Linked DNA regions of Alligator mississippiensis. The protein of the gene in region 2 purifies or fractionates together with the protein of the main gene of each other region. This does not show direct contact. Links are inferred from orthologs where the notes say so. Each region holds a gene or a part of one and is shown on either strand. Other genes may lie near its edges.

Region 1 (6,242 bases), on a different chromosome or scaffold from region 2:
CATTTACCTTGTCAGAGAAGACAATCAGATTGGTTACACCTGACTTGCCCTTAATAAAATCATGCTGTCACTTATCAGCTAGTTCTCTTTTAAGCGGTTACAAGTCTTTTTTTAATATATACATGCCCTCCAGCGTCTTCCCCAGCACTAAAATTAGACTGCTCTGCAATTTGCTGCATCTTCCTTTTCCCCTTTTCTAAACTACTGCATTTGTCCTCTTCCAGCTCTGAGACCTCACCTCACCTCTCAAACATAATAGGTCAATGAGCCTGCAATTAATTCAGCTAATACTTTGAGTGCTCTAGGATGAATCTCATCAGGTCCTGCTGGTTTGAAAATGCTAAGCTTACTGAAATAATCCCCAAATTGTTCTTTTCCTCCTCTGGGCTCACAGCAGTTCTCCCCTTTCTTGATGCTAATTGTGCTTGTCAACCTTTTCTGGGGAAATTTGATGAGAAAAAAGTATTTCAACCCTTTCTTCATCTGTCTAAGGATAGACTCCAGCAAACTCCTTTGCTCCTTGCCGTAGCTTCCCCAAAGAAACAGCATTGCTAAATTAGCATCAGTGCATTTCTTTGAAGAACGAACCATTTGCTTTAAGTCTGAGCTCTAGTGACGTTGATGATTCCCACCGTAACACTTGGGAAAAGGCCCATTATATTTCCAGTCAAAATCGTTTGCAGCTCTTCTACGTCTACGAAATCTCTCTCTGCCACAAGACCAAAAGATCTCACAGACAAAGCAAGAAGCTTAACACCCTGCCAGATGCTTTTGCAAACACAAGCAAGGGCTAGGCTTCTTTATTATACCCCAACCCTGTTTTCAGTGTTTCAGGGCACTGCCATCTGATAACGCAAAGCTACATATAACCTAGGAGAAAGGGCAGGACGGTGCCTTTCTCTAAACCAGTGGTTTCAATCTTCACTCGCAGCACCCCTCATTAGACCCGAGGCCCCCCCATAGAAGATGCCAGCTCTTTGTTTTCACTCATTTTTTGACTGAAGTAAAACCATGAAAAGTAATTCTTCTGTTGCAAAGAGCTCAGAAAGATCAATCAGCACGGACAAGGCAGAGCCGTTCTTAATGTTAGATCCCCATTTGAAATCTCTAGTTTTTTCTTGTGAATCTGGTTTGCTGTGGCCCCCCGATTGAGAATCGAGCTCTAGACCCTTTTCTCAGACCGTGGCAAAACCTGCCGCCACCTCTGAACTATCACCAAGAGGTTTTTTTCTTTGTTTTTTTCTTGACACCCACATTGTTAACTGCTGTCTAGGTCTTCATGGCCCAGTACCTACTGCAGCCTAATCTCTGGTCTTCTTGACAGGTCAAATCTCTGCTGCTCAGTGAACCCCGACCACACTATTCTCTTTCCTTAGAAGCTTCACCGCTACACCCGTCACGAGCTTGCAGTCCTTGTCTTCACGGCATTTATTGTTTCGGTTCTCTCATCGTACCAGTCCCTCGCACTAATCAAGGATGCCAGCCTGCATTGCCCGTTCCCCCTGAACCCGAGAGATGGTGAGGCCACAAATTTGGCAGCCTTTCTGAGCACTTTTGCTGCCCTTGCACGCCCCAACAACTGGGTATTTCCACAGCAGTGAACTAAACCCACGGTTCTCAATTTTTCTAGACGTCAGGCGCCCCTTAGAAACTACTGATTTCACCCGAGTGGTTTTTTTTGTCAAATGACAAATCATTTTTGCCTTGTCGCAAAGCGCTGAGAAAGCCCCCAACACCGCAACGATTTGAACTCTGTTGATTCCTGTATGAAAGCCCCTATGTTTCTCTTCTGGTGAATCACGCGTGCACGCCTAACAAGGCTAAACACTACCCGGCACGCCGCAGCACCCTCAAAAGCGACACCCCAGGATGCCGCGTGCCCTAATCAAAGCAAAAGGGCTTCGTTTGGGAATTGGGACCGGAAGCCAGCAGGTCCCAACACCACCCCTCCTCTTTCAAGCCCTTTGCACAAGTATCTGCCAGTTCCTTGCAGCAGTTTAACTAAATACACGTGTTATCTTTAGCCCGTCATGCTGCTAATCTCTGCCTTCGCACCTAACATCTACACAGGTCCCTTTTTTTGTTTTTAGTGCCCGTAACACTTCATTAATCTGCTTCTAGACACCCAGGCCTAACCCCCACAGACCAAACCACCAGAACCGCGTGGCGCATAATGGCGCCCAACCGCCGCCAACGGTCGCATTTAAAAGCTCGGAGCCTCGACGGGCGTCCGGCGGAGCCAATCGGCCGCCGCCGCGCGCCGCGCCGCTCCTCCAATGGAAAGCGGCGCATCGAGAGGAAGCGCTCGCCCCTTCCTTGGCCCCGCCCCGCCGGCCGCGGGGGGCGTGTCCTGGGCGAGGGGGCGCCGTGCGCCATGTCATGGAGGCTCAGTGCGCGCCCGGCTACTGAGCAGCGCGGAGCTCCGGCCGGCGGCGGCGGCGGGGGACGGCGGCGCGGGGGGCGGCGGCCCAGCTCTCCCTGCCCGCGCGGGCTCGGCCATGGAGATGATGAAGCGCGTGGTGCTGGAGCTGAGGAACCGCGCGCCCGAGAAGGTGAGCACGGGGCCGCCATGTCGCGGCGGTGCCCGGCGCTGCGCGTGCCCCGACCCGGCATGGAGGAGCCCCGGGCCCCAAAACACCCCTCCTCGGCGTGCTCCTTACTACGCATTTGTGCCTTATGGTGCATTCTCCTAATTATTCACCTCCCGGCCGTGTGTTATTATTATCATCATTATTATTATTATTATTATTGCAACGATAAGATTTTTTTTGGACTGGCCAAAGGCTTTTTCTGCCCGCTGCGCTGCTTTTCGAAAAGTGAAGGAGGGCTGGGAGCCCCTCCGCTGGGCACGGGCTCGCTGCGATCGCTGCTGCGGGCATCTGCTCTCCTTATTCGGCTGATTTTGGGGAAATTAGGAACTTGCTTTTCTTTTCCGCCTCCCCCTTTTTCCTTCGGTGAACTCCGAATCTGGGTCAGCCACCGCGATGCGCCCGCCATAAGTTTCTCGGTTGTGTTTGGGGGTGAGTTTTGGGGGGGAGGTGTTAAAGGATCCTTTTTAAAAATAAATGAATAAATCGACAGCTGCTTTTCTTTGGGGTGGGGAGAAGCCCGAAGTCGCGTGCCCCCCGCTCGCCCATCCCTCCCGCGCTGGCATTGCTGGCAGGATGGGTCTTCATTTATTTTTAACTTCTCGCTGGTGGAGGTTGTAAACAGGTCGTAGTGGCACCGAATCCATCTTAAAAAAAAAAAAAAAAAAAGATCACACCATCTGGGTAGATCCGACTTTGCTTTCCTCCAGCCGGCGATCGGAGAGGATCAGAAACCCTCTTTTCGTCAAAATTGGCCTGTGTCTCGGCTGACGTTTGGGGCTGTTTATTCAGGATTGGATCTATTATTACTTATCGTTATTATGATGATGGTGATGATGATTCTCTTCTTTCTCCTTCCCACCTCCACCCTCCCCGAGTTTTTTCAGCTCTGCCCAGAGAGCACATGATGGGGTAATGGCACCCTCCTCTCCTTCCCTTGCAGCCACACGGCTTATAACCGGCCTTCCTAATGGCTAAAGGCAGATAAGGCGATTGCTGCTGGGTCCTGCTCAGTCATCGGAGACAAGATAGGCTCCTGGCCGGTCCCTCCACCCACCGAGAGCAGTCAGGTTCGCGGTTGGGAGGTCATGAACAACGCAGGAGGGCTCTTCTCCCTGCCCGCCATGCAGCTACAGTCAGGTAGCTCCTTCCCTCCGCGAACTCGGCGCTGGGAGTGGTGCTCCAGTGTTGCAGAAAATGCCATCCCCTGCCGCTCCGGCGTGACTTCAAAACAAAAGTCCCGTGCAAGCCAGTGATGGCAAAACTTTATGGGGGGGGTTCTTTTTTTTTCTTTTTTTTTTTTTTTTTTCAATCCTCTTCCTTTGACGTCAAGTCCAGAAACGCAGCGCGAGGGGGCCAACGGCATCTTGAAAGTATTTCTCTTAACTTTTTAATCCCGAGCCATTTTGGTTCTGGCCAGCCTCAAGGCACTCGTGCTTACAAAAACAAATCGAGATGCGCAGAATTGAGATGTGATGTCTGAAGAGGCTTCGTCTATTGTTAAACGTACTTTTTTTCCACCCCCACCCTCCCCGAGGTGGCTGTAGGCAGGTGGTTATCTGATGCATGTTTTTTTCCCCTGCTGCGCAGGGAAAGATTGTGGCTGCGCTTTGCTTTTTAGGAGAGGGTCGTGGTTTTAGTTAATCTCCTGTAGTAATTTCATTGACTGCAGTGCCAGCTGCATGGAGAGCAGGCTGATCAACTTGCAGCCTCCGCTTCCCTGCTGTTAAACTCGGCCAACAAATGATTTGTCGCTCCAGCAGATGTTTTTGCATTTAGGTCAGTAAGGACGCTATCGACTGGCGTGTCTTGCTCTCCCCAAGAATAAAGTCCAGATAGGTTGATATTGCAAAGTGCTTTTACTCCACCCCAGCCTGGGTGACTGATTGCACAAAGATTCCCTGCATAAAAACTACTACTCAGATAAACAGTATATTTTTTAACAAGTTGACTGTGTTGGATTATTTTTTTAAAGCCTTTAAACTGTGGCTGGAGTTACCCCCCCCCCCCCAAATGGTTTTAGTCTTTCCCTTTTCTTCAGGGCAAAACCTGAACAACTTTGGGACTTGGAAACCACAAAACAATTCAAAGCTAGTCTCTCTGGTCAACTTTTTCTGCAGCAACATGAAATAAGATTGTAAACTTGAAACAAATGAGCAGCTCATGCCCACCAAAATAACTCAGAAGTCGCCAGTGAACAAGTGACTTTTTTAGTCATCTCTACAGATGACTCTTTCAGAGCTGAACTTCCCAGACTGGTGTTGCATTTAATCCTTTTCATTTGCAGCCGGATTGGTAAAATAGCAACTGTGGTCAGCCCACTTGTGGGGACATGGAGGACAGACAAGCAGAAAATGGATTTTTCCCTGCAAGATGTTCAGCGACACAGAGTAAATGCATCTAGAATGAAGAAGCAAATGCTTCAGTCTGGTGCATTATTAACCTATGATACTCCCTGCCTCAGTATTTTGAGGGTCAAAGCTATAGGGTTTACAAGAGGATTTGGTGCTTTTTTTCTGGCAAGTGAGGCTATACCCCCTTATTTTAAATAGTGAATGGGAATATAAACCCTCATCTGGGCATGAAGCAACCATTAAGTGATGGCTATGGAAGGAAACTATATGGGTAGGTCATTCTGTAATTGCCTAGTTGGCTTTTGGCTCCTTGCTTCTTCTGATGCATCTGTTCCTGGCTTTCATCAGAACCAGGACCATGGGTTTTTGTCCGGCCCTGTAAAGGACTGCGATTGTGAACTCTGTCTTGGTGGTTGTGCTTTCTGAAGCCAGCATGTTAACAAATAAATTAAGTTTTTTATCTTCTGGTTCTCTGTGATGGTGCTTCATACTCTGTTTACTTCCTCTCAAGGTTGATATGGTCGATGAGTTCAGACAACTCAAGTTCAGGTCTTCCCAGATGAGAAGCAAAGCCTGTCGTCAGGCTGCTGGTTTGACCCGAATTGCTTGCTTGGTTGAGGGTCCCTATTAAAGTAATAAGTGACATTCTGTTTTGTTTCAAGGTGACAGAGTTAGTGCTTGACAACTGCCGATCCAGCAATGGCGAAATTGAAGGTCTGAATGACTCCTTTAAAGAGCTGGAGTTTCTCAGCATGGCCAACGTAGAGCTGACATCCCTGGCCAAGCTCCCCACCTTGAGTAAGCTCCGAAAGGTATGCATCTTCAGACAAAAACCCATCCGTTCTCTCCTGCCAAAGTTGTATACCTTGAAACACACCAACAGTTAAACTACTTGCAAACGTGACTGTGACTATGGAAATACGCATCTCATTGAAATGTTTTACTAAACATTGCTAACTTAAGAATTAAGTCTTTAAGACCCTGAATGTAATTAATGCTGGTTTCAAACATTAATGAGCCAAAGTACTGAAAAAGTATCACTTGAAAACTGTGTTAACGATGGCCATCCCATTCTGTTGTAAAGAGAGGGGGTCGGGAGCAATCACATTAGGTGAAGTGCTGGGAACACTGAAGTCATTGTTCGTTACCTGTAAGGAACCAGTTTCAACCTAGTCTGTTGACCTAAAGCCTGTACAAAGATCCAATGCTATGTTTCACATCCCCGTGTAAAAAATAAAGCCTGGAAATATTTTAAGTTTGCACCATACTAAGTATGCTAACTGAGCAGTTGGAATCGGTG
Region 2 (6,242 bases):
CCATAGCAGGTGTTGCTGGTGAAAGCTCTGGCTTATGATCAATGATGGCCACATCAGTACACCAGAAATAAGGGCAGATATTCAAAAGGCACAAGCTGCAGTGACCAACACCAAAATTCATCCTACAAAAATGTCACCACCTACCCAAAATGTAAAAGCAGGTGCTCTGTCAGCACTTGCAGCCAAGGGATCCTATGGAACTTGACCAGCACCAGGCATACTGTGATGTGTGCTCTCTCCAGCCACCTACTGGTGGAAAAGCAGCAGTGTAATCAGCCACTTTGAAGGGAGATGTGTAGAGATGTCAAACCCACAACTTCTCCATTCTAGAAGATGGAGCACAACCAGTCCCACAAGAAATACCATGTCTTGTTTATAGCTTTAGTAGTTACTTCTCCTACAGATAGGTACTCTTAATAGTGTGACTCACAGGATAGGGCTCCTTAAAAAGGGTTAAACACAGCTCTATGCCACAGCACAGATAGCCCATGTTTTGTACAATTCTGATTTAACATTGACTGTATTATGCAACATCCTTCACTCCCACACCATGGCCTCCATCAAAATGCCAACTTAACTCCCTTCCTGCTGATCCTCAAGACTCACTAAAATAGTTCACTGAAGTATTTTTAGATGAAAGCAAATTCTGATTACAGCAGAAAATCTGTTATCCTAAAACCTCAGAATACAAGTGGCAATGATTATGCAGCTTTTATTTGTCCGAGTTAAGCAAAAAAAGTTGGATTTAAATGAATAATTAAGTTTCCCTTTAAAAAAGTATGCCACTTTAAAATGAACCCTGAATTTAACACAGTATAGACTAAGGTACAAGATATAAATATAATTTAAATAAAATATTGAGTCAATAAAAAAACCCTCTGGACTTAAAGGTTGATTTTCTTCAAAGGTTTGGGGGTAGGGAAGCCATTTAACTTTTGAGGTCAAGCTTTAAAAGAAATACAGCACAATATTTCATGTATTAGGGGTTTGGCCCTGCAAGGTTATATAATGCTGGATACAAAGCATCAACGAAGTAATCACAAGTGTTTGAACCTGGCCTCTTCTAGCTGTGTACTCCTTGATCAGCATCATCTACCAGGCCCACCTAGAAGGTATCAAAACTCCTGCCTGTCTGTGTCTTTACCCGATCCAATTGGCTCAGTTCTCAGTTTATGAATATCGATGACTGTACCCATAATGGAGGCTTATTTCTCAGCTCATGGCAAAGCAACCATCTGCTCAGTAATTACCAACCCCCTGGGGCTTCTTAAGGGTTTGGGTACTTCAGTTAAACGGCCCTTCTTGGTTCCTTTGGCTATGCAGAGATGCAAGCAGACTTGAAGTTCATGCAATTCATGGTCTCCAAACTAAAATATTGTAGCCCCCTAGCCTTGTGTGCTGCAACAGCAGAAAGCATGGCTTGTTGGGACGAGGGAAAAGCTAGGGAGGGTATGGTGGATTACATCACAGGGAGAAGCACTGGTTTGGTGTTCATCTCCTGTGTGGAGGAGAAACAGGGAGGAATAAGCAGGAGTGTGAGCAAAGGACCAACACTGGGCTCAAGTGTACAAAGTGGTAGACTGGTCTTGAAATCAAGACCTAGACATTTTAGAAAGTTTTCCCCAGGGTGATCCGAAATAACTGGTTTAATTCACTAAATTGCAGTTCATGGCATACTATAACAGTTAATACTAGTGTTTAATAAATTAGTTATCCAAGTGTTAATCAAGTCTTGATAATGATTTCTATTTCCAAAACATTAAAGTTGCTTTTAAACACACAACCAACACCAAATTAAACAAGTCACCATCTTAATAAAAAAAGAGCACATTAAATCTACTGAACAACATACAATTCACATTTAGGATGCCAAAATAGTACATTCAGATTGTTAGCAATGCTGTAAGTTATACATTTAAGACCATATTGTTTATCTATCATTGGTTGATACAATAAAAACACACTGACCTACTGTAAAAACTGCAGTTAACTAAGTTTGGAACATGTGTTTCTAGGTACACAAGCTATGAAGAGAGAGTTTGAGTACCTAGGAAACATGTATACAACTTGCAACTTAATCCAGTTTTTACAGTAGGACAAGTTCTGTTAGATCAACCAATGATGATACAACCTTTCTGTAAAAAAGGAAGGAAACAAAAATACAATGGGAAACTTGATAAAATTATTTAAATTTGGGCTACTGATTTATAGCAATTTAAAGGGACTCAATTTAAGTCAATTTACCCCTTTTAAGAATATTAACTGCCTTTCCCAGTCTCTCCAACAGTATCCTTACCTCAGCTGTCAGGTACTCCAAGATAGCAGCACTGTACACAGCAGCAGTAGCTCCTACACGTCCATGGCTAGTGGTCCTGGACTTCAGATGACGGTGAATGCGGCCAACCGGGAACTGCAAGACATCAAGAGCAGGAAGAACATAGTGTAAACACCATAAAAGGTTTGGCAAATGAAAGACTGAAACCCTGCCAACAGCTACCATAAAATAAATCACAGGAAGGCCTGTTTGTTATTTGATGTAACAAAAGCTGATCAGATTTAAAGCATAGTGATTTTGAATACACTTCTTGCATGATTCCTTATCCTATAAAACAGCAATTCTCAGCTTTTTTAGCCTCAAAACAGCCCTTTTTATTTTTTCCAGAGTTTAGGAGCATCCTGGCTGAGAACTATTGAGTTAGAAGCCAACTTACACCAGGTAAGAGTGTCAAGGCAAGACCTCACCCCACTGTACCCTTTTGCCAGCATCTGCCCCCTCCCAGCCATTGATCTGTGCATGAAGGGGTAAGCACTAGGCTTCCAATGCCAGCAACTGAAGCCAGATGCACTTGCAGCCTCTCACCACGCCAGGCACATTGGGGGGGGGGGGGGGAAGGAGGGGGCAGAAAGAGAGAAACAGACAGGGGATAACTCAGGATTTAAATTGTAGTCCTCTACCTATATCTGGCCACCTGCTCATGCACTTCACATGCACACACATTGGAGCAACTGTTAGGAGCAGGGTGGCCAGTGCAAGAGCTGCCAGGCATGGGGACTAGCTACAAGTACTGCTGGACAGATTTTAGAGGTGCCCAACCCCAGCAAGGAGAAAGAGCAATTGCTCATCTTTTGGCACAGGACACATGGGTGCCACAGCCCCTTTGGAAGCATCTCATAGCACTCTGGTTGAAGACCCCTGCCATATAGTAGCAGCAGCAGCATTATGGTTCAAGCTGTTCATTCCCAGTCCAAGCTGTTACTCCTTAACTGCACTGAAACAAACAAAAAAAAACCTCTTCAAGTAATGCAAAACCTAGGCGCTGAAAATAGCACCCTCCAAAGACTAGCCTTTTAAAAATCATGACAATCAGTGGACTTCAACTGCAGCTGTTCTAACATGGAAGCCTGCTGCTCCTGAAGCAGACTGCCCCATAGCAGACAAGCAGCAAACAGAGAAAAACTCCCAAACAAAAAGGCAAAAGGCTTAAAGGACAAATAAATGGGATGAAGCCCTGCAGACTCACCTGCAGCCCAGCTCTCTGCGAGCGAGACACTGCTTTGGTCTTGGTCTTCCCAGAGTCCTTCCCAGCTTTACCACCAGCCTACAAAACAGGGAGGAAGGCGGTAGTCAGAAGCGAACTCCTACCCACTGGAGCCAGCTTCTTCCTCCTATAAGCTCACCTGGAAGCAAGTCAGTCACTCGGGTCTCAGGCAAGAACCGCCCAACAGCCCCGCGCATGCGCTCCCCGCCCAGCAGCCCGAGCCAAGGCGCCGCGCATGCGCTCTTCCCCCACGCCCAGCAGTCCGAGTCCCTTGCTAGGCGCAGGCGCTGAGCGCTCCCGCCGGCCCGCCGCGCATGCGCACCCCCTCCCCCACAGCCCAGCGGCCGGCGAGACGCGAGGGCGCCCCAACGCGTGCCAGCTTTCCAACCATTGCGCCCAGTCTCCCCATGCAGCCGCCACCACCTCCTCCCCGCCGCTGCAGCGCGGTTGAGCAACCCCCACCCCCAACCGTCCCCCGCCTCCGTGGCCTCCTACCATCGTAAGCGGCGCTGCAGCACCGCGCGGGAGAGGGAGGAAGCAGCGAGCGGCTCTCACACACAACAAGACCCCAGCAGCACCGCACACCTGTACCCGCCGCGATTCAAACTGCGCCGGCTCCCGCCTTCCCCCGGTGCTTTATAACCGCCGAACGTGCCCACATCCGGGCACCCGGATCCCACCGCCAGCCAATCGCCGCCGAGGGGGGCGTGGCGACTCTGCGGCCCAGGAGCCAATCGGAGCCCAGCCGCCGGGCGGGGAGGAGAGGGGTGGGGTGGGGCGGGAGGCTCGTGCGCCCGGGCCTCAATGGAAGGCACGCCCACACTTAAAGTGACAGGCGCGGCCCTGCGGAGCCGTCGGCTGCCTGGCGAACCCCGCGGGGCGAAGGGGGGGGGCGGTGTAGGCCCAGTGACCCGGCGCGTCGCGGCGCGAGGGCCCGCGTGCGCGCCCTGCTCCACCCCTCTGCTGGCTCCCGCGCGCCCGGCTCCGCCCGCCATTTTGTCTGGCGCTGGCGGCGCTGCCCGCGGGCACCTACAGCCTCCGAGGCCCCGCGCCCAGGCTCAGGCACAGCTACGGGCCTTTTTGCGACCCGGACACCTGCCTCTGCCCTGCCCCACCCCGTCCCACACATGGGACTTGCAAGTGCCTCCCCTCCACCCCCGGGCGGGGCTTAGGGCAGCTGCTGGGTAAGGAATTGCGGGGGTGAATCCCCCGGGGGAGATGCAGACACGTTGTCTTTTTCTGCAAGCTTTCGGACACACACGCCCTTCCTCAGGCGCAGGGAAAATTAAAGACACCCCAGGGAGAGGCACCAGAGCCTGCCCTAGGTCACTGGAGGAGTTGCAGCCCAACACCTGTACCTGGCCACCCCAACTTGTGTCCCTGCAAAGAAGGGGTCTTTGGAGGATGCAGATCTCCCGCCCCGGGTGCAGCAGGTGGGACGGGCAGACAGGTGGTGTTGCCCTCCTTGGCACGGTGACTCTCAGCCAGGGGTCGTGCAGTAGCAGCACTGCGCGTTTCATTAAAGCGACCCGGAGATTTCAAATAGGCACCCGTAGTGTCAAAAACACCCTGGCCTGCTGCAAAGGAAGGGTATTGGTAGCTATTGAGTGAGGGAGTTAGGGGTCCAGCCTTTGAATCAGAACTGCCTAGACCAGGGATCAGCAATGTTTTTGGTCACAGTGGCAAAAACACCCGCAACCTTGGCTTGAAAGGTGTTGGCGTCCCCAGGGCAGAAGGTGGGGGAGCTGCAAGGGGCCTGATCCTTGTTGTGGCGGTACCGGCAGGCCTGGCCCCTTCCCAGAGGTGTGACTGCCAAGCAAAATGACTGCTCTGATTGCCTACCCTTGGTCTAGACCTTAAATGCTGGAGGCTGCAAGGTAGGGAATCCCTGCTCATACTCAGTTTGCTCTCCCTTTTAGCATATACTTTCTGCCCCTCTGTGACGTGGGGAGGTGTGGGGGTTGTGTTATGAATGTTTCCAAGTCTAGGCCTGAATCTGCACAGGTTTCACATGCCCTTGGGTTTGTGGCTCTCCGTTTTCTTAGGCAGCAGAACCACCTAGATGTTGGGTGGGACCCTGCCTTGAGCAGTGTGACCTCCCCCCAGGAGCTTGTCGTTGTGGATCGCCAGCTAGAGGTGGTGCAAATGATGCGAGTTTTCTTGTCCCGTGCAGCATTCCCAGCCAATTCCAGGGTTTCAGTCATCAGGCTTTCCATCACTGAAGCATAATTGCCCTTGTAAAGCATACAGTGCACACGGCCTACAGGGAACTGCAGCCCTGCCTGGGAAGACCTAGGCTTGCAGACTATGCCTCCCTGCTTTCCACAGCCAGACATGATTTCACTCTTATGTGATGCTACCCCTCTGCAGAAACCTGGCAAGACAGACCTATGGTCTGACCCAGCAAATGGCAGTTCTTATGTTCTTATGGTCTTTCTGTGTTCCTTGCAGTAAAAGAATTGCTCTAGTCATGGGCGTTGCGGTGCACCCCCTGGAAAAAGGCACCACTTACACTCAGCGGCGCCTATGGGCAATCGCCGCTTGCCACCCCACTGCTGCCACCACCAGTGGCATCTGTGGGCAGTCCGCGATTCCTGCTGACTGCTGCTGCCGATGTTGACAGCAGCTGCAGGTGGTCGCCAACCCTTGGTCCGTGTTCGCCATCCTCCCCTGCTGCCAACAGTGCTGGTGGAGTCTTCAGGA

Evidence for each region.
Region 1: the proteins of histone H2A.Z (region 2) and ANP32E purify together in Homo sapiens (affinity purification with mass spectrometry; 4 studies listed by BioGRID and IntAct, with this or other methods). This does not show direct contact. The link is inferred for Alligator mississippiensis from reciprocal best matches to the Homo sapiens genes H2AZ1 and ANP32E.

The regions. Positions count from the first base shown.
Region 1 is NC_081838.1:18,368,374-18,374,615, reverse strand, and holds the start of ANP32E (acidic leucine-rich nuclear phosphoprotein 32 family member E), read left to right. Parts: upstream 1-2,397; 5' UTR 2,398-2,498; coding exon 2,499-2,552; intron 2,553-2,713; exon of another isoform or gene 2,714-3,235; intron 3,236-3,645; exon of another isoform or gene 3,646-4,226; intron 4,227-5,604; coding exon 5,605-5,754; intron 5,755-6,242. UniProt on the Homo sapiens protein: Histone chaperone that specifically mediates the genome-wide removal of histone H2A.Z/H2AZ1 from the nucleosome: removes H2A.Z/H2AZ1 from its normal sites of deposition, especially from enhancer and insulator regions.
Region 2 is NC_081825.1:161,262,482-161,268,723, forward strand, and holds the start of histone H2A.Z, read right to left. Parts: upstream 4,167-6,242; 5' UTR 4,038-4,166; coding exon 4,035-4,037; intron 3,600-4,034; coding exon 3,522-3,599; intron 2,411-3,521; coding exon 2,297-2,410; intron 1-2,296. UniProt on the Homo sapiens protein: Variant histone H2A which replaces conventional H2A in a subset of nucleosomes. Nucleosomes wrap and compact DNA into chromatin, limiting DNA accessibility to the cellular machineries which require DNA as a template.